7 linked regions of the Callithrix jacchus genome follow. The protein of the gene in region 2 purifies or fractionates together with the protein of the main gene of each other region. This does not show direct contact. Links are inferred from orthologs where the notes say so. Each region holds a gene or a part of one and is shown on either strand. Other genes may lie near its edges.

The links.
Region 1: the proteins of RMND5A (region 2) and SKI purify together in Homo sapiens (affinity purification with mass spectrometry; 3 studies listed by BioGRID and IntAct, counting the BioPlex papers as one, with this or other methods). This does not show direct contact. The link is inferred for Callithrix jacchus from reciprocal best matches to the Homo sapiens genes RMND5A and SKI.
Region 3: the proteins of RMND5A (region 2) and RANBP10 purify together in Homo sapiens (affinity purification with mass spectrometry; 4 studies listed by BioGRID and IntAct, counting the BioPlex papers as one, with this or other methods). This does not show direct contact. The link is inferred for Callithrix jacchus from reciprocal best matches to the Homo sapiens genes RMND5A and RANBP10.
Region 4: the proteins of RMND5A (region 2) and ARMC8 purify together in Homo sapiens (affinity purification with mass spectrometry; 5 studies listed by BioGRID and IntAct, counting the BioPlex papers as one, with this or other methods). This does not show direct contact. The link is inferred for Callithrix jacchus from reciprocal best matches to the Homo sapiens genes RMND5A and ARMC8.
Region 5: the proteins of RMND5A (region 2) and RANBP9 purify together in Homo sapiens (affinity purification with mass spectrometry; 9 studies listed by BioGRID and IntAct, counting the BioPlex papers as one, with this or other methods). This does not show direct contact. The link is inferred for Callithrix jacchus from reciprocal best matches to the Homo sapiens genes RMND5A and RANBP9.
Region 6: the proteins of RMND5A (region 2) and GID4 purify together in Homo sapiens (affinity purification with mass spectrometry; 4 studies listed by BioGRID and IntAct, counting the BioPlex papers as one, with this or other methods). This does not show direct contact. The link is inferred for Callithrix jacchus from reciprocal best matches to the Homo sapiens genes RMND5A and GID4.
Region 7: the proteins of RMND5A (region 2) and MKLN1 purify together in Homo sapiens (affinity purification with mass spectrometry; 4 studies listed by BioGRID and IntAct, counting the BioPlex papers as one, with this or other methods). This does not show direct contact. The link is inferred for Callithrix jacchus from reciprocal best matches to the Homo sapiens genes RMND5A and MKLN1.

The regions. Positions count from the first base shown.
Region 1 is NC_133508.1:40,279,012-40,283,170, forward strand, and holds the start of SKI (ski oncogene), read left to right. Parts: upstream 1-1,359; 5' UTR 1,360-1,807; coding exon 1,808-2,776; intron 2,777-4,159. UniProt on the Homo sapiens protein: May play a role in terminal differentiation of skeletal muscle cells but not in the determination of cells to the myogenic lineage. Functions as a repressor of TGF-beta signaling.
Region 2 is NC_133515.1:26,282,044-26,286,079, reverse strand, and holds the start of RMND5A (E3 ubiquitin-protein transferase RMND5A), read left to right. Parts: upstream 1-1,236; 5' UTR 1,237-1,602; coding exon 1,603-1,744; intron 1,745-4,036.
Region 3 is NC_133521.1:25,248,456-25,251,955, reverse strand, and holds part of RANBP10 (ran-binding protein 10), read left to right. Parts: intron 1-1,710; coding exon 1,711-1,895; intron 1,896-3,500. UniProt on the Homo sapiens protein: May act as an adapter protein to couple membrane receptors to intracellular signaling pathways.
Region 4 is NC_133518.1:46,106,229-46,109,728, forward strand, and holds part of ARMC8 (armadillo repeat-containing protein 8), read right to left. Parts: intron 3,092-3,500; coding exon 2,949-3,091; intron 2,844-2,948; coding exon 2,746-2,843; intron 1-2,745. UniProt on the Homo sapiens protein: Component of the CTLH E3 ubiquitin-protein ligase complex that selectively accepts ubiquitin from UBE2H and mediates ubiquitination and subsequent proteasomal degradation of the transcription factor HBP1.
Region 5 is NC_133505.1:16,876,230-16,880,529, forward strand, and holds the start of RANBP9 (ran-binding protein 9), read left to right. Parts: upstream 1-1,500; 5' UTR 1,501-2,858; coding exon of another isoform or gene 2,859-2,890; 5' UTR 2,891-4,300. Other genes in the region: MCUR1 (mitochondrial calcium uniporter regulator 1), read left to right, coding at 228-342, 1,293-1,348. UniProt on the Homo sapiens protein: May act as scaffolding protein, and as adapter protein to couple membrane receptors to intracellular signaling pathways. Acts as a mediator of cell spreading and actin cytoskeleton rearrangement.
Region 6 is NC_133506.1:69,100,987-69,104,486, reverse strand, and holds the end of GID4 (glucose-induced degradation protein 4 homolog), read left to right. Parts: intron 1-497; coding exon 498-605; intron 606-2,738; coding exon 2,739-3,062; 3' UTR 3,063-3,133; downstream 3,134-3,500.
Region 7 is NC_133512.1:115,724,455-115,727,297, reverse strand, and holds the end of MKLN1 (muskelin), read left to right. Parts: intron 1-1,983; coding exon 1,984-2,105; 3' UTR 2,106-2,343; downstream 2,344-2,843. UniProt on the Homo sapiens protein: Component of the CTLH E3 ubiquitin-protein ligase complex that selectively accepts ubiquitin from UBE2H and mediates ubiquitination and subsequent proteasomal degradation of the transcription factor HBP1.

The sequences.
Region 1 (4,159 bases), on a different chromosome or scaffold from region 2:
GGGCGAGGACAGCCCCCAACCCCCTCCCACCCATTGCGTCCCGGAGCCCGCAGGCCTCGCTGGACGCTGCCACCTCTGGGGACCACCAGGCCGACCGTCCAGCTTTGGGACCCAGGCTTTCCCACTTCGGCCTGCCAGGGCTTGTGGCTCTCCCACTGCGTGGCCAGGCGTGGAGAGCCGGCCCGACCGGACGGACGGAAGCGCCCCGCAGCCCCGGGGCGGAGGGCAGGGGTCTCGCCAGTCTGCCCGTCGGGACCCGCGGGGCCGAGATCCTGAGAAGCCACCCGGCCAGGGGCCGGCAGAGCGGCCGCGGCGGGGGCACCGGGCGCCGCCCCTCCCAGGCCCGAAGCCCCGGTCTGGTGGGGCGGGGCTGGCACGGGCGGGAGCCGCTGACACCCGGCCACCGAGCCACGGGCCACGGTGCAGCGGGGGCCGCGGGGCTGCGCCGCCAGGGTCACGTGGCGCGAAGTCCCCCCGCGTGGCCACCATCCCTGTGGTGTGTGGGACCCCAGAGGCGCCCGGGCTCCCCGCTGTGTGGTGTCCCACCCTGGGAGAACCCCGGGTGCGTGGCGTGGCCCGCCAGCCGTCCCAGCTGGTTTGCGGTCGAGCGGGGAGCCTGTGGGTTTCTGGGCCCCGGCGGCGGCGAGACGGGCGCCTTCCCAGCAGCGCAGGAAGCGGCCTCGGCCGGAAGGGGGCCCCGGGCGCCGCCACCACCGCCTCCGCCTCCGCCCGCGCTAGCGGCCGTCGGCGGGCAAGGCCGAGCGGGGCCGAGTCGAGTCGAGCACGGCCGAGCAGAGCCGAGTCCCGGGCGAGCGGAGCCGAGTCGTAGCAGGGCGGGTCCTAGCGCAGCCGAATCCCGGGCGAGCGGAGCCGAGCGCGGCCGAGTCCGGGCGGGGAGCGCGCGTTCCTGGAAGAGCCCGGCTGGGGAGCGGGTCACATTCTTGGCCGGCGCTCTGGCTGAGGCGGACGCACAGCAACAAACAGCGCGGGGGGCGGGGCCGGCGCGGGGCGGAGCGGGCGGCGCGGGGCGGGGCGGCGCGGCGGCGGCGTGAGCTCAGCGCCGGGCGCTCAGTCCGAGCCGAAGCGAGCCGCCGGGAGGATGTTCGCCGAGCGCCCCAAGCCCCGCGCCGCCGCCGCCGCGCTCTGAGGGCCGCGGGCGAGAGGCGCCTCCGCCGCCCCAGAAGCCGGGCGGGCGGGCCGCGGAGCCGGCGGGCGGGCGGGCCGGGGGCCGGCGGCGGGCGCGACGCGGCCGGCCAGCGCCGCCGGGACGAGCCGGGCGGGCGCCGCGCGGTGGGAGGAGCGGGGCGGCGGCGGCGCGCCGCGCGAGGACGGCCCGGCGGGCCCCGCGCCCGCGCCCCCGCTCCTCCCGGGCCCCTCGGCCTCGGCCGCCGCGGCGATTCGCGCCTCTCGGCGCCGCCACCTGCCCGCGCGCCCCCCGCGAGCCCCGGGCCCGCGAGCGTTGGCGTTGGCGTTGGCGGCGCGCGCCGGGGCATGCCCCGCGCCTAGAGCCCGGGGGGCGCGCGGGGGACGCGCGGGGGGCCCGGGCGGCGGCGGGCGCGGCGCGGGGCGCGTGGATGTGGCGCCGGGCCCGGGCGGCGGCGGACTCCAGCGGCGGGACCCCTTCGCCCCGCCCGCCTTCCCCTTCGCGCCCCCGGGCGAGGCCGCGGCCGTGATCGGTCGTGAGCCGGCGGCAGGGGGCGGCCGGGGTCGGGGCCGCGGACGCCGCCGGGGCGCGCGGGGCGGCGGCGGGGGCCGGGGGGGCCCGGGCGCGCGGGAGCGGGAGCGGCCCGGGGAGCCGGAGCGCACCATGGAAGCGGCGGCGGGCGGCCGCGGCGGCTTCCAGCCGCACCCGGGGCTGCAGAAGACGCTGGAACAGTTCCACCTGAGCTCCATGAGCTCGTTGGGCGGCCCGGCCGCCTTCTCGGCGCGCTGGGCGCAGGAGGCCTACAAGAAGGAGAGCGCCAAGGAGGCGGGCGCGGCCGCGGTGCCCGCGCCGGTGCCCGCAGCCGCGGAGCCGCCGCCCGTGCTGCACCTGCCCGCCATCCAGCCGCCGCCGCCCGTGCTGCCCGGGCCCTTCTTCATGCCGTCCGACCGCTCCACGGAGCGCTGCGAGACGGTGCTAGAGGGCGAGACCATCTCGTGCTTCGTGGTGGGAGGGGAGAAGCGCCTGTGCCTGCCACAAATCCTCAACTCGGTGCTGCGCGACTTCTCGCTGCAGCAGATCAACTCGGTGTGCGACGAGCTCCACATCTACTGCTCGCGCTGCACGGCCGACCAGCTGGAGATCCTCAAAGTCATGGGCATCCTGCCCTTCTCGGCGCCCTCGTGCGGGCTCATCACCAAGACGGACGCCGAGCGCCTGTGTAACGCGCTGCTCTACGGCGGCGCCTACCCGCCGCCCTGCAAGAAGGAGCTGGCCGCCAGCCTGGCGCTGGGCCTGGAGCTCAGCGAGCGCAGCGTCCGCGTGTACCACGAGTGCTTCGGCAAGTGCAAGGGGCTGCTGGTGCCTGAGCTTTACAGCAGCCCAAGCGCCGCCTGCATTCAGTGCCTGGACTGCCGCCTCATGTACCCGCCGCACAAGTTCGTGGTGCACTCGCACAAGGCCCTGGAGAACCGGACCTGCCACTGGGGCTTCGACTCGGCCAACTGGCGGGCCTACATCCTGCTGAGCCAGGACTACACCGGCAAGGAGGAGCAGGCGCGCCTCGGCCGCTGCCTGGACGACGTGAAGGAGAAGTTCGACTATGGCAGCAAGTACAAGCGGCGGGTGCCCCGGGTGAGTGGCCCCAGGCCTGGGCGCGGGGTGGGGCCGGTGCGTTGGGTGGGGGGGCACCTCCTGGGCCTTGCGCTCCGGGCTCCGAAGGCCGGGACCTGTGTTCTGCCTCACTCCTGTCTCAAGGCTTCGGTTCGTTTAGGGGAAATTCAGAGCGTTCCCTTGGGCAGGGCCAGTGGGTTTGGAAGGAAGCCCTCCTGCCGGTTCCTCAGGACGAGCCTGGGCGGGGCTGGTGGCGGTGGGGTGCGGGGCCAGGCTTGGTGTGTGGGAAAGGCCCACAGCCATTGCCCAGATAGGCCAGGAAGGCACAGGCCTCTTGTGCTGCCGAGAAAGCGGCCTGTCCCGAGGTCAGGGAAGTTCCATCCAGCCGTACTGCGGCTGGATGCCTCAGGCCCGGGTCTTCCTTGGGGTTGGGGTGAAGGTGGCTGCCCTTACCCCGAAGCTTCCCAGCTTTGAGCCCCAGGAGACAGAGCTCGGGCCAGGCGAGGCCTGGTTTTGTTACTGGCTCTGCTCCCTGTTTGGTGTCCTGAAGTTTTGGGACACAGACCCAAAATGAAGCCAGGTGTCCGGCGTTAGTGGCGGAGGGCCGAGACTCAGCAGCCCCAGCACTGTGCTGGTTCGTCTCCCTGGGCCTGCCAGGGAGCAAATCCCAGAGTCCCCCGTGCAGGGTGAGGGCCACTTGGCACCCAGCTGAGGGCCTGGTCAGCAGGCTCCTGGGCCCGAGTGCTGGAGTTCCTGGCGGCCTGCGATTTGTTTTGGACTCACCCGTTTCCTTCTCTCCCTCTGAAGCGCAGAGGGACACGCCAGGGAGGGAGACTGTCAGCCCGGCTTTGTTGTTTGCCAGTTGGAGGATCTGGAGGATCCGGCGTGGGCAGCTCCCAGGCCATAAGGCACCGACATTACCCAGTGGGGTCCTCAGGAACTTTCCGTTGCATACCTTCCCAAGTATTTGTAACTTTTTTTTAAATATGCAGGCTTATTAAATTGCACACACAGAATGCTGCATTGGCTCAGCTATTCTTGGGAGGCCTAATTAATTCAGCTATTGCATCAAACTTTTTTTTTGAAATCTGTGAATAGATGCTCCAGCCCGGTTTTCTCTGGGCGGCCCTCCAGCAGAGTGTCAGATCGTGGGGAGGAGGGGCTGTGGATGGAAGCGAGGGACTGTCGCCTCTGCTTGGAGGGGGCTGCGGAGAGTGTGCGCGCGCGTGTATGCCTGTTCAGGGGCGCTCTGGCCCTGCCAGGCCAGAGCCTTGGTGCAGCTGCTTGCAGACCTGTGGGCTGTGGAAGGATGCTCCCGGCGGGGCTGCTGACAGACCCAGCAGGCTGGGGCCTTTCGTGTCACACGGGGAGTTGGCTGGGGTGGGCATGATGGCGTACCCTGTG
Region 2 (4,036 bases):
ATTAACGGTGGGGAGGAAGTACATTAGTGTAGCCAGGCAGGGGAGGACCGTGTAAGGGGGCAAGTCAGCTGAGAACTTTAGGATGAAAAAGGTAGGAGGAAGAGTTTTCTGGGCCAAGGAAAGGGCAAGTGCATAAGTCCTGAGGCAGGAACTAGCTGGGCTCCTGAAGAAATGCAAAGGTTAGTGCAGGCGATGCTGACCACGGAGGTCTAGGCCAAGGCTGGAGACGCCATGGCAAGCTAGGAGAAGGATTTACCCAAGGGGGTAAAGCCGATCCTATTCAATACAGGCTTCCCAGGGGGCAAGGGCCAAGCTGCCCAGCTCTCCAGCGCGGGTTCTTTCCACTGGGCTAAGCTGCCCGGCTCAGGGCTCCGGGGCGACCGTCAGGAGAGGTTCCCGGCCCCGGGGCCAAAGGGCCACTACGGCTCGCGGCGGGTGGGGAACCTGACCTCCAGAGTGTCGTAAGCTCCGGGCAACGCTGACAGACGGCGCGGGTCATTCGCAACCAACAAGCATCCCCCTCACCAGGACCCAATCACCTCCGCCTTTAATTCCCATTAGCGCCCCCGACCCGCCTCAGCACCCGCCCCCGGGCGGCCTTGCTTGGTTTTTCATCCTGGGAGGCGGATCCGTCGCCCAAAAGTTCAGAATGACTGCATCCCTTTCCCTTAAGAGCGATGAGGAGACGAAATAAATTGGGTTCAGGGCGACGTCCTATGGAAAACAGCCCTCTGTATTTTTGTCTGGTTTTCCCCCACGGCTTTCCAGAAAAGACTCGTTTCTCGGTACGCTCTCCAAGTCACCCCCTCCAACAGCGAGTTCGTTGGTTTGGCCTGTCAACCCGGATTGGCTGAAGCCTTACACCTCGGCCATGGATTGGCTTCTTACCATTCTCCGCGCCCATTGGTTGGGTTTCCCCGCTTCTGGGCGGAGTGGTGAGGGCCGGTTTCCGCCCCCTTGTTTACTGAGCGCGTAGTTGTAGCGCTCGCCGAGCTCTGGGGCTGTCTCCAAAGTTCCCTATTTAGCTCCTCCGGCCAATTGGGGCCTCGCTCCACCCTCGACCTCTCCCTCGCCCGCCTTCCGCGTGGTACGGCCCACACCTTTAGAGCTGCGGCGCGTGTGGGCGCCTGTCGCCCTCCTCCGCCCGCGATCGCCGAGCCCCCCCCCTTCGAAGGTGCGCTTGGTACGGCCCGCGCCGCCTCCTTTCCTCGCCGGGGTGGCCGTCCCTCTCCCCCCAGTCGGCGGCGCTTGGTGCCGCCCGGGAGAACCAGGTCATCCGTCGGTTCCCGTGAAAACAAAAACAATCGGCCGCGCAGCCGCGGGCACCCGAACGCCACGAGCGGGACCCGGGGACGCGGGGCCGGGTGGAGGGAGCGAACGGGGGCGGCGGCGACACGCCGGAGGGCGAGAGCGCCATGGGGCAGGCGGGCTACTGCTGCGCGGGGCTCCCCCGGCGCCGCGGCTAGTGCGCACGCCGCCTCGGCCGCCTCAGCCTCCCGCGCCGCCCGCCTGGGGGACGAGGAGCAGGACGCGGCCTCGGCAGGGCCCGGGCCGAACGGCTGCGGACACCCGGGCGCCTGGGAGCCGAGCGCCGCCTCCGGCATGGATCAATGCGTGACGGTGGAGCGTGAGCTGGAGAAGGTGCTGCACAAGTTCTCGGGCTACGGGCAGCTGTGCGAGCGCGGCCTGGAGGAGCTCATCGACTACACCGGCGGCCTCAAGCACGAGATCCTGCAGAGCCAGGGTAGGGCGCCTGTGTAGGCGCGCGGGGCAGGGCCCACCGCTCGAGCCCCGGCCCCCGCCTCCCTTGGAAGCGCGGAGGTCCCCAGACCCCTGAGACTTTTCCTCCTCTTTTCACTCGATTTACCTCGAACCTGCCGCGCGATCTCGTTGCTAATTCAGGAGTGCGAACCACCCGGAAACTCGGCCGGGAGCCGCGGGCTCCAGTCCGGATAAACGTGGGTGAGGGGGCCGTTTGCCGCACCTGCAAGGTGCCGCCTTCCTTGAGTGGGCGCCCCTGGCCCCCCGCCGGCCCCGAGGATCTCACGTGGTGCCCGCGGCTCAGTCCTGCGGGCGGGCAGTGAGCGAATCGCCTGGGATCCCAGGCTCCGAGTGATGAGGGCAGTGCAGGAATCCCTCTTCCCCCTCTGTGCCGCCCCGAATCCTTGCCCAGGAGACTTCGTCGTTTTTCCGTCTTTTTATTTTGGAAAGTCGAGCGTTATTCTTAGCTGTGGGTTAACAACAGCCGCTCCTGCAACTTATGATTTGACTGCCCTGTGGACGCAGCTCTTGTGAACTCCGCAGCGGCTCTGACGTGGTTCCTAGGAACCGTTCCGCTCCCCTATTGTAGCTTCTGATAACACCAAGGAGGAACGGGCGACGTTTGCCCAAGCACATTTTGGTACATGTTGCTAGTTACTTGCTTTGTCTGGTCAAGTTCTTCCTTTTTTAAAAAAATAGATTTTTCTGTTTCTCCTAGATTATTATTACCCCAAGCCCAGGGGACAGGTACTTTGCCAGAGTTAATTTAACGTATGAAAGCTGGTTGGGAAGGTTTTTGTTTTTTTTGTTGGTTTTTTTCAAATAACATTAAAGGTTTAGTTTCCTTACACATGAAAAATTACAGCGATGATTCCTTTTGATCAAGAAGTACAGGACTTTTTAAATGGGTTTATAAAAGAGGCTGAGGGGGCTTCTCAGTTATGGGCTGAACAGAAATTTATGTGAAGAAAGGTTGGGTAGCTGGGGGAGATGCAGATATTTGTGGCAGGTGAGATGAGGGCAGTGGTGTTAGCTGAGCTTCTCTCTCCTCCTCCATTTTTTTCACACTTTCACCCAGACTGCATTTCAGTTGAGGAAGGGTGGTGGTCCATGGGAAAAGAGTCTTAAAGCAACTTCTCATTTTAGACACTGCAGACATTTTTGTACTTTCGGAAGGAAGGAACCTGCAGTCATAGTGGATGGGATATTAATATGGAAAAAGCATTAATTCTCGTAGGAGTTGCAGTACTAATATGGAAAAACGAGCAGATTTTGGTGGCTGCCTGTGAAGGGAAATTTGACTGACGTGGTGAGGATAATATAGTTGGTACAGGGAAGTGAAGGTGGAATGGGACAGGAATCTTGGGAAGACTTTGAAATTGGTTTTGTACGTGTGAGGTAAAGTTGGAAGGGCTTAATGATGATAGAGTCCGAGGGCTCTCGTATTTACTGGTGGCTGGAGATGCATAGGTCTAAGACTGTTTTCTGATGTCATTTCTAAGAGGACAGTGGAGGGGATCACTTAGGATGCAAAGAAGAAAGACTAGGGTCTAACCACAATCTTGAATTTCCCTTGGCGCGTAGAGGGCCTAGGCTAGATAGAGCCAGCAGAAACCAAAAAGGGCGGGGTTAAGAAAAAGAGGTTGGTCGGCATTTATTTGGTTATTGGAAGTCAGCAGTTTCATAGAATTGCTAAGACAAGCCAGATTACTGGGGGTTAAGAAGAAAAACGTGATGTGAACCTAAGTGTGGGAAATACAATACAGTGATGGGAAGTGTTACCTCTGCTCCCGACCCCGCCAAGGAACCAGTGGAGGAAGAGAATGAAGGGACTGTTGGAGAGGTGGAAGGAACATTTCCTTTTTACGGACCAGGCCATAGGCAGGGTTTGAGAGGAAAACGATGCAACAGGATGTACCTTTCTTCCATGAGAGAGGATGTAAGTTGAAGGGGCATATTATTGTGGGCTTTGTTTTAGAAAATTTAGGACCACTCTCAGATGGAGAAAATGACTGTGAGGAATTGCTAAGGCAAGAATTTGTTTTTTACCTCTTCACTGGGTACTAGGGAACTTTTCTCAGAATTTATCGTCAGAAGGGTATTGGCCACACAGTATGCTATGCTGTTAAAAACAGTCTGACTTGGTGAGTTTGTGTGTTCCTTTTTCAGACTCCTAATTTTTTCCCTTTTGTCTTCCAAATTGCTAGTCTTATATTGGTATCTCTTTGATTTCCTTTAATTCTTTAATAATAGGGTTAAGTGACAAAAGGTAGTT
Region 3 (3,500 bases), on a different chromosome or scaffold from region 2:
AGAACAGATTCAGGAGGAGAATGCTGTCCCTGGCTAGGGAAAAGTCTAGTTATGGGGACGTGACATGAAATGGCCAGTTGTGAGCATGGCCTGTATGCAGCCACGTGCAAGAAAGTATGGGGGATGACATTGCGGGCAGTGACAGTCAAGGCAAGTTTGCTGGACGAGGCGGGCTTTGCCTGTGGTGTGGAGGATGGAAGGGGGAAGAAAGGAACTGAGAGGTCCAGTGCAAAGCCGGTGGTAGGCTGAAGCCAGCATACAGGAAAAGCTCCTACACCTTGTGCAGGTACAAAAGTGCATGGTTGGCCGGAGGTGGTGGTTCACTCCTGTAATCCCAGCACTTTGGGAGGCCAAGGCAGGCGGATCATCTGAGGTTGGGAGTTTGAGACCAGCCTGACCAACATGGAGAAACCGCATCTCTACTAAAAATACAAAATTAGCCGGGCATGGTGGTGCATGCCTTTAATCCCAGCTAACTTGGGAGGCTGAGGCAGGAGAATTGCTTGAACCCAGGAGGTGGAGGTTACAGTAAGTGGAGATTGCACCATTGCACTCCAACCTGGACAACAAGAGCAAGATTCCATCTCAAAAAAAAAAAAAAAGTGCATGGTACTCAAGAAGGAACATGGCTTGAGCATGGAGGTAGAGTGGACTGGGAGGCTCAGGGAAGGCCATCTGCAGTGACAGTGGGGAGGAGGTTGGCGAGGCTCTGGACAGTAGCAGCCAGGAGCCACAGGAACCACAAAGTGAGGGAGGGACCGGGCAAAAGCCAGTCATGGCAGGGGCTAGGTGGAAAGCAGGGAGCCCCACACCCTACTGGCCAGATCCTCCTCTTAGCAAGCCTCTAACAGGAAAGGCAGCTTCTCTTCACCCTTTGCCAGTGCCAGGGGTCTAGACCACCAGTTCCCTTTTGCCATGCTCCCCTCCTCCCTTCCTTCCTGCGTCATTCCATCTCTGCCCACCCCCTCTTTTTTTTTTTTTTTTTTTAGACAAGGACTGTCACCCAGGCTGGGTTGCAGTAGCATAATCACAGCTCACTCACTGCAGCCTCAATTTCCTGGGATCAAGCAATCTTCCCACCTCAGCCTCCTGAGTAGCTGGGACCAGAAGTGTACACCACCACACCTTGCTATTTTAATTTTTTTATTTTTTGTAGAGACAGGGTCTCACTTTGTTGCCCAGGCTGGTCTCGAAATCCTGGACTCAAGCAGTCCTCCTAACTTGGCTTCCCAATATTCTGGGATTACAGGCATGAGCCACCGTGCCCAGCCTCATGTGTCTATTTTTTGTGGCAGAGATATCCTCGGCCCTGGATCTTTCCAAGAGGAGCCATGATCCACCATTGCAGCAGACCTTCATGGGCACGTCTGCAGGGTTGTGACACCCAGCCCATCTCTGTATGCCTTGGCTGCGTTCCAGAAGGGGTTCTTGGGCCTTGAGGACACAATGGCCTCTGATGCAGGGCGGGACACTTTCCATGTTGTGCCTTGCTTGCTTTTCTTTTGCTTTCTCCCCTCAAGCTTTGTGGTATAGTGTGTCTGCTAGGGAGGTAGGCAGGAAGGTGGCTCTGCCCTGCCTCCTCCAGCCTTGCTGCAACTCTCCCAGCCCGAGCATGGGCCAGCAGCAGCCATGGAGGTGAGGTGAGGTGAGGCGAGGCCTTGCCACCCCGCTGCCCTCAGGGCCTGACTGACATTTCATTCTCCTCCTCAGGCCAACCTCTACCCCACCGTAGGCCTGCAGACACCTGGGGAGATTGTGGACGCCAACTTTGGGCAGCAGCCCTTCCTGTTTGACATTGAGGACTACATGCGGGAGTGGCGTGCCAAGGTCCAGGGCACAGTCCACTGCTTCCCCATCAGTGCCCGGCTTGGCGAGTGGCAGGCAGTGCTGCAGAAGTGAGTGCCCTGCTCCCGCCCTTACCTACTCCCACCCCACCCCAGCCCTCTCCACTCTAGGCCCCTGTAGTGCTACAAGCAGTCCTTAGAAATTCCAGTTGGTGGATCCTGTCTGGGAAGTATTCCTAGGGCGATTCAACTTGCAGCTCTCCCATTTCCCTCTTATTGGATGGACAGCTTCCGATGAGTTCTCCAGGCTGCTCCTAATTAAACCTTTGCCCCTCAGCCAGATTGGAGGCTCCTGTGTATAAGATCACCAGCAGGGCTGTTTTCCTTCCCCAGGTCATTTTGCAGAGGATTTTGCAGAGGATGCCCTGTGGTCTCTTCCTCTGTGGACCCTTTTCTACCATAGGGAGTATCCATCATGCCGTGACTCTGGCCTGAGGCCACCTCACAGGGCCCAGCATCCAACTGAGTCTCATTCGTCTATAGCAGTGGTGGAGGGAAGGGAGTCCTCCTAGGACCAGCTGAGCTAGCTCCTTGGCTGATAAATTCCCAGACTGTCCTGCAAGCCAGTGTTGCTGAAACTCCCAAGGGAGGCCAGCTTTGGGTCTCTCTTCTACTTGTCATCTGCAAGCCTGAGTGAGGCAGTGACCAGTACCCACTCTGCTAGGAGGTGGGTGTTAGCTTGGCTCCCAAGGATGGGCAGATGGGCATGGGGAAGGGCTGGGCTTCTGCTACCTCTGGTCATTGCCCTGCAAAGGCACCAGGGTGCTAGGGTCCCCTTGGGTGGGGTTGGGGGGCACACTGGGTTCTTTCTGCAGCCTTTGTCTCTTGAGGCAGGCCCCAAGGGTGGGCTGAGGCAGGGGCTAGGTGACCAGACCTTCCCCAGGAAGAACAGCATTGCTGCCTTTTGTTCCCAGCCCTCCAGAACAGATGACAAGGACTTCCTTGGATGGCCAGGACTGTGCCACTCCCATAGCAGGCTTGCTGGGATGGGCAAGGAGAGGAGTGAAGCTGCCAAGGCTGTGTAGGGGAGGAACTGATGCTCTCAGTTTTCAGGGCCTAGGCTCAGCATATGGATGTGTTTTTGTTTTTGGGTTTTTAAAAAAATATTGAGATCGGGGTCGCACTACGTTGCCCAGGTTGGACTCCTGGGCTCAAGTGATCCTCCCACCTCAGCTTCCTGAGTAGCTGGCATCACAGGCATGTGCTACCATGTGTGGCATAGCACATGAGTGTTTTTGTTTACATGTGTGTATCCATGTGCTTGTATGTGTTTATATGTAGCATTTGCCAAGACCTGGATATAATTTGTGTACTATGGTTTTACATAACTTCATTTAGTGAATATTGATAATGGCTATGTTATCTCAGAGAAAAATTTGTCACAAGCCTTTCGGCTGGCTTCCTTTAGTGGAAGGTCAGGTAATTTCCTCTCTTTTACTTGTGTAGGTAACCCACTTATAGATAAATAATATTTTATATTTACCTTTGTGTTTATAATAATAATATGGTGTAATAATAATTATATTTATTTTATTTTTTTTCCTGAGTCAGGATTTCACTCTATTGCCCAGGCTGGAGTGCAGTGACAGTCATGGATCACTGCATCAGCCTCCTGGGCTCAAGCAGTCCTCCTACCTCAGTCTCCTGAGTAACTGG
Region 4 (3,500 bases), on a different chromosome or scaffold from region 2:
AAGACTTAGCTCAAGCTTCCCAGTCAATGACATCACAAGAGCTATGCTTCCCAAGAAGGAATGTGCATGCAAATTCCCAGGAGATGTTCTTAATGTACTTTGATACTGTAGGTCTGGGGTAGGATCCTAAGAGTCAGCTTCCAAATGAGGCTGATGCCATTGGCCTACAGACTCTACTTTGAGCAAAGAATGGTGAAGTACATAGCAGCTAAGATAGAAAAGGTAGAGAAGTAGATTAAAAAGTCTCTATTAGGCTCCTAAAGCTATTTCCACCTCCTTCTTTTCCTCTAATGTTCTTGCATTCCTCAATTTCCCTCAGTTACAATAGCCCCCATCCCATTTTTTCATATCTGCCCCCTTTCTGTTAATTGTGTCTATATATCTACAGTTTACAGATGATTAAATAAGGCAAAGAACAATTATTGAATACAAAATTTACCCAAAATCACCCACCTAATAAACACAATTTCAAACTAGAAATCCTGCCATCTTCTTACTGGACTACCTACCCCATCTCTATTCTACAGCCTGAGTTGCTCAAACAGCTGGCTTTTATACACCCCAACTCATAGAAGTCAATTAATACACTGAAACACTGCTGCTAGTTATTCCCCAATCCAACTCTTTACAAATTCTCCACTGTCTCTGAGGTATAAAATATCTGAGGCACAAAATTGAGATGATTCATAATTTAGATATTCTATCTAAATTTAACCTCCCTGGGTCTCAATTTTTCTCATGTAAAACAGTTGGCATAGACCAGAATTTTCCAAATTGTGCACCATGATCCATTAGTAGGACAAAAATCAGTTTAGAGAGTGAGGTGGGAGGAGTTAAAGTAGTTGGCCAGGATCAACTTCTCCCCTTATTATGGGATTGAGGGTAGGTGAGAAACTTCCAGGGTAAATAAGACAGGTGACTGGCTTAATCTCTGCAAACATTACCATATGAACTACAGGAAAATAAACTGATATTTACTAAGTCCTCTATGGAAAGCTTTAAGCAGGATGTCTACAGTAAAGTAGTAACTCTTAAAGAGAGAACCTGGAAATTTGTTAGAAATGCAAATTCTCAGGCCACACCCAAAACTCACTGGATCAGAAACCGGAGGTGGGGTTTAGCAATCCCTGTTTGACAAGCCCTCCACGTAATTCTAGTGCAACCTCAAATCTGAGAACCACTGCAGTAAACAATCTATAGATATATGAGGTATGACTCCCTGAAGAATCTCACATAAAACTATGAGGTATAAAATAAAGATGTTAGGCCACGTGCAGCAGCTCACACCTGCAATCCTAGCAGTTTGGGAGGCCAAGGCAGGCGGATCATGAGGTCAGGGGTTCAGGACCAGGCTGGCCAACATGGTGAAACCTCGTCTCTACTAAAAATACAAAAAAAATTAGCCGGGCATGGTGGCATGCACCTGTAATCCCAGCTACCCAGGAGGCTGAGGCAGGAGAATCACCTGAACCTGGTAGGCAGAGGTTTCAGTGAGTCAAGACTGAGCCACTGCACTCCATCATGGGTGACAGAGCAAAGCTCCCTATCAAAAATAAATAAAATAAAAGAATTTTCATAATTTAGGTGCTCCCTATGTGAGGTAACCCATAAATCTCATCTACCGACCACCTTATGTATCATTAAGGGCCAGCGGAGTATGTGTCTGATGTAGAAAGGACAGGCTAGGGAGCCATGTGACATGTCTCTTCTCTATGCTTGCTTTGCCTATGCCTCTTTATTACTTCTAGTCTTGAAATACTTAAAAAGCCTAATTCTGGGTAAGATCTCTGACTCCTGTGTGCACAATTTAACAACATAATTTGTTATGTTGGCTCAGATAATCACAATCACCATTTTTTTGAAGAATGAAAAATGACAACACAGAAACCAGAGGGCATTTCATCTGTGGAACTATGTCAAGAAACTTGTCTCAGGATTCTTTCACATATACATACATACCTACATACACACACACACACACACAAATTCACATGTATAGTGAGGCAAGAACTCAAACAGTTTTTGAGACTTTATTTATTAGAGTCAGAGTCTGTACTGTCACCCAGGCTGGAGTGGGGTGGTGATCTCCAATCACTGCAATGTCTGTCTCCTGGGTTCAAGTGATTTTCATGGCTCAGCCTCCCAAGAAGCTGGGGTTGCAGCTATGTGCCACCATGTACAGTTAATTTTTGTAGTTTTAATGGAGACGGAGTTTCACCGTGTTGGCCAGTCTGGTCTTAACTCCTGGCCTCAGGTACTATATCCGCCTTGACCTCACGAACTCCTAGGATTACAGGCGTGAACCACCACACCTGGCAGAGACTTTTATTATTTTTTTGTTTTAAGTTACAGGATCTTGCTCTGTCACACAGGCTGAGGTGCAGTGGCACCTCATAGCTTACTATAACCTCAAACTCCTAGACTCAAGCAATCCTTCCACTGCAGTCTCATGAGTAGCTAGGACTATAGGCATGCACCATTGCACCAGGCTAATTTATTTTTATTTTTATTTTTTTCATTAGAGATGGAGTCTTGTTACATCACTCTGGTTGGTCTTGAACTCCTGGCCTCGAGCAATGCTCCCACCTCAGCCTCCCAAAGCACCGAGATTACAGGTGTGAGCCACCATGCCCAGCTGAGGCTTTTTTATACAACATAGTTATGATGAGTCTAAAGATGCCAAGCAAATTAGGAGTAGGCTGTTAGTGAAATGCAACTAATATCTCAAATACATCTAAAACTCACTGTATACAGTAGCTCCTCTGGAGTGACAGGACTGGTGAAAATGGTGCGCAGGCATCGGAGACAAGCTTCAATAAACTTCAGGTCTGGGGACAGTAGTCCTATTAACAGAAACTAAATTTAGGACTAATCCTCTCAACCAGTATTTAAAGTACTGTAAACTGATTCTTATCTTTACTTGAGCAAAAAATGGCTTCCCTACATACCTTGCAATAAGGCAGGGATAATATGGCAGTCCAGTAGAGACTTGACATTGTTTTCAGTACCCATAGCAAGACTTCCCAACACCACTGCACATTCAGTTTTCAGCTCTGTGGTTGAGGTTTCTTGCTGAAGCAAGTACAACAATCTAAAAAGAAGGAACTTAATAAACAAAAAGACTAAAAAAATTTAATCAAGGCTCAATGTGACCAAAAAAGGCTGTGCAGTCCACATAATAAAAACATGATTGGTTGAGTTTATATTAATTCAATGGTCATTTGTTTATCTCATCTGCTAATTAAAGAAAGAAACATCTGGAAAAAAATCTAGAAGAGGTTTTGAAAAAAAGAACTATCATATTCTCAGGGTTTATCAAAAGTGTACATCTGAAAGTTGTCCACAAGTGGTCTCTGTAGAAACAGCATCATCAGAGTCCACATCATCTACCACTTCCTGTTGGGTCTCCAAAATATGAAGACTCTCAATCAAATGCCATGTGCTGCCAGATCTTATATTCAAACTAGAAATCTAGAAATGCTACTGCTCTGAATCTAGAG
Region 5 (4,300 bases), on a different chromosome or scaffold from region 2:
TGTGTTTTGTTTTCTGTTTTCATTTTTTTCAAGGAGAAGAAAACTAAGGCCTAGAGAGGTTAAGGGTCCTGACAAATGCAGTGCAGCATGAGGATTTTAGAACTGAGACTAAAGCCCAGGCTTGGCCAGGTTTCCCTGTGACTGCACCCTGCTGGGAAGGAGCTATAGGATGGAGGGCAGAGGGGACGTGCCGTGGTCTAACGCTGTGACTCTCTTTGTTTTAAAAGCATGCCCAGCAAGATCGGGCCCTCACCCAGACAGATAGGAAGATAGAAACTGAGGTTGCTGGCCTCAAAACCATGCTTGAGTCACACAAGCTTGATAATATTAAATATTTAGCAGGTAAGCTATTTTATATCTATTTAAATCAACCTGAAAAGAAAATAAATTTATAAAATAAGTTGACAGAAACTGCATTGATTCCAGCTCTTTTTGAAATACTTTAATATCTCTCAAATTGGAAGGCATTTTACAATTTCCAGGAGATGAAGTGTCATCCTTTAATTGGCATCTTTTCTTTCTTAGTAGTAAAGTAATGGTGTACTTTCGTAATGGATAGAATCCGAAATCTGATAAGATACTGTCATCGAACTGTAGTTATTTGGGATCTTTTGTTTGTTTGTTAGTTTTTGAGATGCAGTTTCCCTCTTGCTGCCCAGGCTGGAGTACAATGGCGAGATCTCAGCTCACCACAACCTCTGCCTCCTGGGTTCAAGAGATTCTGCCTCAGCCTCCCAAGTAGCTGGGATTACAGACATGTACCACCATGCCTGGCTAATTTTGTATTTTTAGTAGAGACGGGGTTTCTCCCTGTTGTTCAGGCTGGTCTCCAACTCCTGACCTCAGGTGATCCTCTTTGGCCTCCCAGAGTGTTAGGATTATAGGTGTGAGCCACTGCACCCAGCCTTGTTTTTTTGTTTTTTGAGACAGAGTTTTGCTCTTGTAGCCCAGGCTGCAGTGCAGTGATGCAATCTTGGCTCACTGAAACCTCTACCTTCTGGTTTCAAGTGATACTCCTGCCTCATCCTCCCCAGTAGCTGGGATTACAGGTGGCCCCCACCACCCCCACCTAATTTTTGTATTTTTAGTGGAGACGGGGTTTCACCATGTTTGCCAGGCTGCTCATGAACTCCTGACCTCAAGTGATCTGCCTCCCTTAGCCTTCCAAAGTGCTGGGATTACAGGTGTAAGCCATTGCACCTGGTCGTGTGTGTTTTCTTAATAAAAAGATATTCCCTCAAGTAGCTCTTAGTAGAACTAATAGTATTCTTGAATTGTTTTTTTTCTTACAGGGTCTATCTTTACGTGCCTAACAGTGGCTCTGGGATTTTATCGTCTGTGGATCTAATAAAGTGTCTATTTAAAGAGATTTCTGTTTTGCCTTAAGAATCCCAGATTGTTGTCCTTTTGTTTTCTTGTCACAAATTTGAAACCGGATTTTAGCTTACTGCATATTATTTATTTTTATGCGAATTATGGACCCATAACCAGGATAAAGAAGTCAGCTATTCCATAGTTATTCCTTTCCTCCTCTCTGCTTAGTCGACGTTCTGACTTAGCGGCGGACAGCACATGGAAGACCCTACTCAGCTGGACCAGGGAGCCTGGTCTCGCCTGTGGTGCACTCCAACAGCAGACATTGGTGTAATTCTCTGCATTTGTGGTCTTCATGGTCAGGGCACAATGGCTTTAATCAGTACTGGAAAATCGCTAAAGCTGAACCAAGAGCACCAGATCCTCTTTACCTAAACACCCAGTCTTTAACACGAGCTGGTCCCTGTACCCGAGGATTGTTGCAGCCGTAGTGGGTTGTTGTGTTAATAGGACAGCTGTGCCTCTACCTTCTCTTCTTTTGATTTCCATTGTCTTGTTAAGTTATTGTCAGGGTTATTTTTAATGTGCCTTCCAGCTAGAAAAATCAGCTGTCTAATGAAGCATTGCAATTGTAATGGGGACTCTTGCCTCTTAGAATGCAAGATTTTCCCTCCTCCCTCCCTCTTCTCCATCTGTTTCCCTCGTGATTTGAGAACTGTAATAATATTCCACTGGCGGCATTACCTACCTAGAAAACCTGCTGATTCTTTGCATGGAACGCTGCTTCAGTTTGCAGGACAAAGTCCACTTCCTTCTGGTCTTCAGTTACTTTTTATACAAGGGAGGCACTCAGCTCTCCATGTGTAAGATACCTAGATGATGGATACGTATTTCATAAATGAAATTTATTTCATTAATGAGTATCCCCTTGCCCCCATCCAGCTCAGGCTTTCAAAATTCGAGATGGTCCTGCCACACAGCATCCTAATCTAGATTGAGTAATTCTGTTAAAAACATTCTTATACCTCCCTTATCTTCATACCGAAAACAAGTAAATTCTAGATACAACTGGGCTTATTCTGGAGAAGCACAGTCTCATTTAATTTACTGGCACATGGGCAAGAATAAGCATTTTAGAGACAATGACACTGACAAAACTTTTTCTGCCTTTCTCTGCATACACATGTACATAGTCTGGTACAGTGGGGGAGTCACAGGAAGACTTCCTGATCAGCTCGGTGAATACATTACTCATTGTTAATGTTCCAAGCACATTGATTAAACAAAAATAGTTACCTTTTGTCCTTTGGATGTCATTTCTAACTTTTGGAAAATTAAGTCATTGTCCTTTTAGAGAATGTACATAGAGAGCTCAGAATTACATAGAGATTCTGAGCTCTCTATGTAATATGAAAGTCAAATATTTTTGCATGAGCAATAGCAGTTTTAGAGTGCAATATTATAGTTCAATCTTTTTCAAGTAGATCAAAAATTATCTTAACTGATTAATAAAGTATTTTATCAATATATTGTCCCCCTTTCAGAGGAAAGTCCTCAGAAGAGACTGCACACTTAGCAGTCGCCCTCATTATCAAAGGCCAAGGTGAGTGGCATCCCACCACATTCGGACCAGCTTCATGTCAGTATAACGGCCTAGAGCTTGGAGAAGGGCCATGGAGCACAGACACCCTTGTCAAGTCACACATCCAAGAGGAAAAGGGCCATATGCAATTATGTTTCAAGGTAAACACTAACCTTGTATAGGTTAAAAACAGTGAAGCGTCTTTGTATCCTGATAAATTTTTTTTAAATAACATGGTGGGGTGACATTTTTGAATCTGCTAAAAGTTTTCTCACATTCTTCCTGGTGATAACGGGCTGCATCATGCTGGCACTTCATTTGAGTGTTTGATTTTGCTGTAGAATTCTTTGCAGTACAGCAGAGCCTGTTTTTGGCCTTGGGAATTGAACTCTTCTTTTGATGATATGGATTGCATGCATATCTGGAGTGAGAAGGGTTCAGGACTGCGTTCACTTTATTTAGTGAAATGTATTCCATTTGAAAGGCATTTGAGTCCAAAATACAAGTGTACCCTTCCCACTTCTGGATCAAGCATCTGTGAGCAGACTAGATGAAGTATTCAGACTTCCTGAGGCTGGGTGCAGTGGCTCATGCCTATAATTCCAGCACCTTGAGGGCCAAGGTGGCAGATCACTCGAGGTCAGGAGTTGGAGATCAGCCTGGCCAACATGGCGAAACCCTACCTCTACTAAAAATACAAAAATGAGCCAGGTGTGGTGGCACGCACCTGTAATCCCACCTACTTGGGAGGATGAGGCAGGAAAATAGCATCCACCCCAGAGGCAGAAGTTGCAGTGAGCTGTGAAGATCTGCCTGGGCGATAGAGCAAGACTCCACCTCTAAATAAATAAATAAATAAAACCTCCTGAGCTACCTGGGCTTATACGGATTCAGATTACTTTAGGAAATTAGGCATTAGCACTAGGAAAGGGGAAGGTGCCTAGAAAAACTTCTAGCTAGCAATGTATGTCTAGCACACAGGGAAATCAACAATAGTGAGATCCTGAACACATCCCTCCAGGTGCTGGTGGAGGGAACGTGGTGCAATGCCTGAAGCAGAACCTCACATGGACAGAATGTATTTCCTTCTTGTTCTTACAGGGCTCCTCTGCATTCCTGCTTCTCTTCCCTCCCCTCTCCTCCCTCCCCTGCCCTTTATCTTTTCTAAAGCGACTGAACTCCAATTTCCATGCTTTCCTGCTATGTTAATAGGCAAAACCCGCTTGCGTGTATGGTTCTTTGCTGGAAACACGACTTTTCGTTTCTGTATTGGTTTTACTGTCAGCCAGTGTTCTAGCTTAATATCTAGCAAAACTAAATCTGAATGTACTCGCTTTTTCCATTAAGTATGCCAAGCACCTCAGTTGAAAGGCTTGACTCAAACCAGAAGTCTTGCTGGAATTC
Region 6 (3,500 bases), on a different chromosome or scaffold from region 2:
AAAAAGTATTCTACCCCAAAATCCACCCCTGGAACCTTGGAGAATTGGTGTAAAAGAGACAAATGACTGAGTCAGTTGGAGAACCAGTGGCTTAAGGGAATACTAGCAGGAAACACAGTGATTTTGGAGTCTCTTTGTGTCTAACCTTGAAAAGTAAAATCTACCAAGTTATGATCTGCTTTGTATGCTAGAATATTCCAAATTTACTTGTGGAAACATCCAAATTCTTTTCTAAGAGACTAGCATTAACAAGTGAAGTCAAAGAAGGGCTGTCCGCTGTTGGCAAAATCCAGGACACCCTTCATTCTCTGGGCGATTTAGATTCAGGTCCATTGCCACAGCCTGTTGGCAAACTGGCTGGATCTAACTGGTTTGGATTATCAGGTAGCAATGTCAAGGTACTGGAAAGAAGTTAAAGCAAAGTTGATTCTTCTTTTGTAAAAAGGTTAAAAACTCTCAGTCAACATCTTGTTTTGATATTTGGGTTTTTACCATAGGAGTATCCAACCCTTACGACCTTCTTTGAAGGAGAAATAATCAGCAAAAAACACCCTTTCTTAACTCGCAAGTGGGATGCAGATGAAGATGTTGATCGGAAACACTGGGTGAGTAAATCTGATCTGCGCTGGGTCTTCCAGGGACTGCTAGAGAACTGAAGAAATTCTGGGAGCCAGAGACCTTGTCTTTTATTGTGGATTATCGGGCTTTGCAGCCAAGTGAAAGGCTGTGCTGCACAAAAACCTCAGTTGTTCTATCTTCCTTATGAGGAGAGTTTAAATAGGATCTGACCTGCTGCTTAAATAGCAAATGGTTGTCTGATGATAGCAGCCCCAGAGTTCCAGCCAGAACTTTGCTTGGCTATCAGAATCTGAGCAGTGTCCCCCTATCCTTCCCATCTGTTTGCCCTTCTTCTGTCCACTGTTCCTTTCAAATCACTTCTGCTTGGGGAAAGCCCTGTGAAACATCTGACAGTGACCTCCAGCTTTGGGGCTGGCATGAGGTGAGATGGAGATGATGGTCTGGAAATCTGCCCTCCTGCTGGCTTAACAGGGCAGAGCCGCATCGTTTCTTTTTATCCTGGCTCCTGACAAATGAGTATAGTCTTGTCTTAAGTACACCACTATAAATCCTGGCTGCCCCTCACTCCTTTAACTGTCAGGTATAGAGCATTCTCACTCAGCAGTAGTGAATGCTTCAAGACAATTCAGAGTTAGTGTCCCAGGGTCTTTTCATTGGTTGTCATTTAAGTACCGCATCTTCAAAAATCAAGTTTCTCAATCCGTCTAATTGTCTTTTGCTTAGTTGACCATGGTGATGATGAATTTTTGTTTAACACTGGAAGAAGTTCAGTGTGTTTACCCTCCATAAACCAACCAGAGATGCTGTGTCAGTAATGAAGATTATAGGACTCGTTCTTCCCATTGCCTCTCACACCTGGCTGTCTAGACTCTCCTCTGGTTCTGGCACAGCAGTCTGTGGAAGGAACTCTTGTAGACCCTTGTCATGAGTTTACCTCACTAGAGATCAGTTGCTTTGTTTATTAATGTTTTTTATTTTTTTATTTTATTTAAAAAAATTTTTTTAGAGTTTGGGTCCTGCTCTGTTACCCATGCTGGAGTGCAATGGTGGATTACAGCTCACTGCAGCCTCAACCTCCTGGGCTCAAGTAATCTTCCCACCTCAGCCCCTGAGTAGCTAGAACTACAGGCATGTGCCACCACACGCAGCTCATTTTCTTTTAGTTTTGCAGAGACAAGGTCTCACTATGTTACCCAGGCTGGTCTTGAACTCCTGGCCTCAAGTAATCCTCCTGCCTTGGCTTCCCAGAGTGCTGGGATTATAGGTGTGAGCCACTGCACCCAACCTGTTTTTTGGTTTTTCTTTTTTGGGGGGTTTTTGTTTTGTTTTGAGACAGAGTCTCACTGTGTCACTCAGGCTGGCGAACAGTGATACAATCTCAGCTCCCTGCACCCTCCACCTCCCAGATTCAAGTGATTCTCATCTCTCAGTCTCTTAAATAGCTGGGATTACAGGTATGCACCACTGCACCTGGCTAATTTTTGTATTTTTAGTAGAGAGAGCATTTCGCCATGTTGGCCAGGCTGGTCTCAAACTCCTGGCCTCAAGTAATCCACCCACCTTGGCCTCCCAAAGTGCTGGGATTATAGGCATGAGCCACCAGGCTCAGCCCCAAGCTGTTTTTTATTTGAGTTAGAAGAGGAGATCTATCAAATCCTGAGTTTAAGTTAAATTTAAATTTAAACTTGAGCTTTTTAAAGCATTTTTTTGAAAGCTATACATTTTGACTGTTATAGCAAATGGACACTAAAAGCTAGACAGTCATTTGTGTCTCTCTGGGACACAAGAGAATGCACAAGACCTGAGTATCCAGAAGGTTGGGAGAGTCCAAGTGGTGTATCAAGGTGCTGGGTACCAGCAGGTGGAGTTGGAAGGGCTCCCTGGTACCATCTGTGCCCACCTCTGCCCAGGGCTAGGCTCTTCCTGCATGGCTTGCTGCCTCACGAGATGGCTTCTTCCTCTCCTAGACAGCCCCAGAGTAAAAGCTTCTTCCTTGTGGTAAACCACAGCCTCTCTCCCATTCAACTCTGTTGTCCATTTCATATTGGTCCTGCAAAAAGCAAAGTCTTTGAGGCCCAGTGACACTCAGTTTTAGGCTAGGTTGACTACAAATTAAATAATGGGAAAGCACGTCTTATTTTCCCATTGACTTCCATTAGAACATTGGAAGGTATCTGGGTCTGCAGACTCTGCTAGAGTGGATTGAAACATTTTGGGTGAGAGAGGAACTAAGGCAGCCACCCTTGGTACTGGCATGTGAAGTGTGGCTGAACAAGGGAGCTGAGTTTGTGGAGTGCTTCCTCCTCCAACAGTTTGTGGCTGCTTTTGTACTAGTCAGCATTTCCCCTAACTTTCCCCACTCGTGGAGGACTCCCAGGTTCCTGTGTGGGACTTCTGGAGCTCTGTACTGCACCTGGGTTAGTCTGGGATTTACAATGTTTAATACACTTCACCTAGGCTGTCATTTTTGCATTGTAAATTAGAATCAGAGATATTATACTGTGCCCTCAGATTTTCCTGAGTGGTATTTAAGTGGCAATTATGGTGATGCTATAAAGTCAATATTCCATATATTCAATCTACATAGGATAAAAACGTCTATGTGATGCTGGGCACTTTGGCTCACGCCTGTAATCTTAGCACTTTGGGAGGCCGAGGCAGGTGGATCACCTGAAGTCAGGAATTTGAGACTAGCCTGGTCAACATGGTGAAAACCCATCTCTACCAAAAATATAAAAATTAGCCAGGCATGGTGGCACATGCCTATAATCCAAGCTACTCGGGTGGCTGAGGCAGGAGAGTCACTTGAACCCGGGAGGCAGAGGTTGCAGTGAGCCAAGATCACGCCACTGCACTCAAGCCTGGGCAACAAGAGTGAAACTCTGTCTTTAAAAAAAAAAAAAAAAAAGCTATGTGACAAA
Region 7 (2,843 bases), on a different chromosome or scaffold from region 2:
AACTGATACCCCATGCCTTCTGAGATGATACACTGAGGACACACAGTATCACGTGTATAGTATTCTTGCCAAAACTGCATAAACTGAATCTGATGATCAAGAAACAGGCAACCCAAATTTAACACATTCTATTCATAAATGTTCTGTAGTCTTCAAAAATATCAGTGTCATAAAAGACAGAGGCTGAGGAACCATTTCAGACTCAAGAGACTTGGAAAAATGCATTGTGTGATCTTAGATTGGATTTTAGATTAGTAGGAAACATGACTGTAAAAAAGTGACTGAAAAATGGTACTATTGGGACATTGGTGTTAAATTTCATGAATTTAATATATATTAGTTATGTAAGTGAATGTTCTTGTTCTTAGCTGAAATCAGTTTGAGCATGTAGGGGCCAAAGGTGACTACAACTTACTCCCAGATAGTTCCACAAAAAGATTTTCAGTGGGGTGTACACACGAGAGAGAGAGAGAGAGAGAGAGAGAGAGAGAGAGAGAGAGAGAGAGAACGAGAGAACGAGAACATATTTGGTGAAACTAATGGTGAACCTAAGTGAAGGCAGTATGGGGTGTTCATTGCACGATTCTTGAAACCTTTCTTTGGGTTTGAAATTTTTCAAAATAAAAAGTTGAAAAATGAAGCAATTTGGAAATTTTTTTTTAAAGCATAAAATAGAAAAGACTCTAATCTCACTGTCAGAGATAACCTTTGTTAATATTTTGGAGTATTTCTTTCCATTCACTTCCATGATAGCATAGTGGGCTTTGTTAAACTCAAGCTCATCTCAAATAAACATTTACCCTCAAACTTAAAACAATATATTTTTTAAAATAAAAAGGAATGTGCTGTTCTTGAGGTATTGTTTATGTTCCTTCCAGGAAACTGGTATCCTTGGCAATGTTATGGTCTATTCCTGTTCTTTTACAAGATTAAAACAGATTGGACCTAAAATTGTATTCTAAGTTGAATGGAAATAAGTCTGGTTTGAAGTCGCCTTCACTGAACACCATGGCATGTGTAACTCTTTATGGCTTTGTTTCTATTTCTCACAGCACTCAGCAGGGCTCTCATGCCTCCGCCATTTCAGGAATAGGGGAAATCATTTATTTTATCACTTAAATATCTCCGTTGTATTTAAGAAATCTGAAGCAGCTGAGATAAATATACCAACTGATGAAGACAGCATCTCACTGAATGTTCCTTTAGCTGGAGTAAACTTAATTGAATGTTTTTTAGAGGTTACAGGGGAAAATCCTTTAGATTAACAGTCCCTACCTTTTAAAAATGCCATACATATGTTTTCTAATATTTACTAGGATAAAAGTAGTTCATTGCCCTATCCTCACATAATGTGTGCCTAGTAAGAGGTATGGTGTTTATTATGTGCAGGTACCATTTTACATATTGTACATGTATCTCTTTCCCTCAGTCATCTCTGTTATCACTCAGTTCTCGGAGACTACTTCCAGCTGTCTCTGAGACATTAATGATTTTAGACTAATTTCTAGAGATCCCTTTCATTTTGATTTTATTATATTTTTATTACCAAAAAAAAATTTAGTGGTTCAGAAGCATTAACAAGTAGAAAAGACAAGTGGAATTTTCTCAGTGGACTTGCAGAGGAACAACCTTGTAAGGAAGAGAAGAGAAATCAATATCATTTAGTGACTGAAGTGCCAGTCCTTCTGCTAGTTGTTTTTCATGTAATTGCATTTAATCTGCACAATAACTATATGAAGTAAATACTATTATCACATATGTACAGCTGAGGAAACAAAGTCTGAAAGCCAGAAAGTCTGACGAATTTACCCTAAGATCATACCATAGCCAAGTAGTAGAACTGGGGTCAGATCAGTAGTTTCTGTCTGGTTTTGAAGCCTGATTTGCTTTATCCATTATAAAGTACATTACTGCTAGTCTCAACTAGTTTTTCTGTTACATGTTTTAAACACAATGGATGTTTCTTTGTATCTTCTTCACCAGGCTTTTCTGATGTGGATCACACCTATGCTCAAAGAACTCAGCTCTTTGACACCTTAGTAAATTTCTTTCCTGACAGCATGACTCCTCCTAAAGGCAACCTGGTAGACCTCATTACACTGTAACTGAAGAGTCACTGGACACAGAAATGGAAAAACAGGAGTCGAATTTCCGTCTTTTGGATTGCAGCTCCATTGACTGACAATAAAGCTGCAGTGATTGAGGACTGCACCAGAGTTCTGAAGGGATCTTAACCATCACAGGTTTTTACCCTTTTCCTTCATACCTGACCTCAACCCCACTCTCTTCATCCTGTTCCTAAATTAGGCTAATAAAGTGAAATTGGTATACTTTCCAGTTAAATATATATATTTTTTCTTATGTTATCTTTTAAGAATTAATGAGTATAAAAGGAAAATTAGGCAGTTTACCCTTTTCAGAATTTTCTTTCCTTTTTTTTTTAATTGGGGAAATAAGCACTATTAACAGATTCAGCACTACAAGTATTTTGAATGTTGTTGCTGTTGGTCATTTGGCCTGCCTTCTCATCCCTTCCCACTTCACTTCACCTCCCGTCACACAACTGCGTATAAGTGGTGTCACTTGTTTACCTCTTTACTTTATTCTTAACAAGTGTATAGTTCTCTAGGACAGGTGATGTATGTTAAGGTGATATCTGTGTCTGTGCTGACTTGTATTGTGTTATGTTAAACAGTAGGCAGAATTGAGGGCTCAAGTTTGCACTCTTGGCCATAGTACTAAAAATGAAACCTGAGATTGACCCAAGCACCTATCTGAGATTGGTATATAATATTTCTATAATGATATTTTATAGTAGATATTTCAATAGCATCTGACTTTGA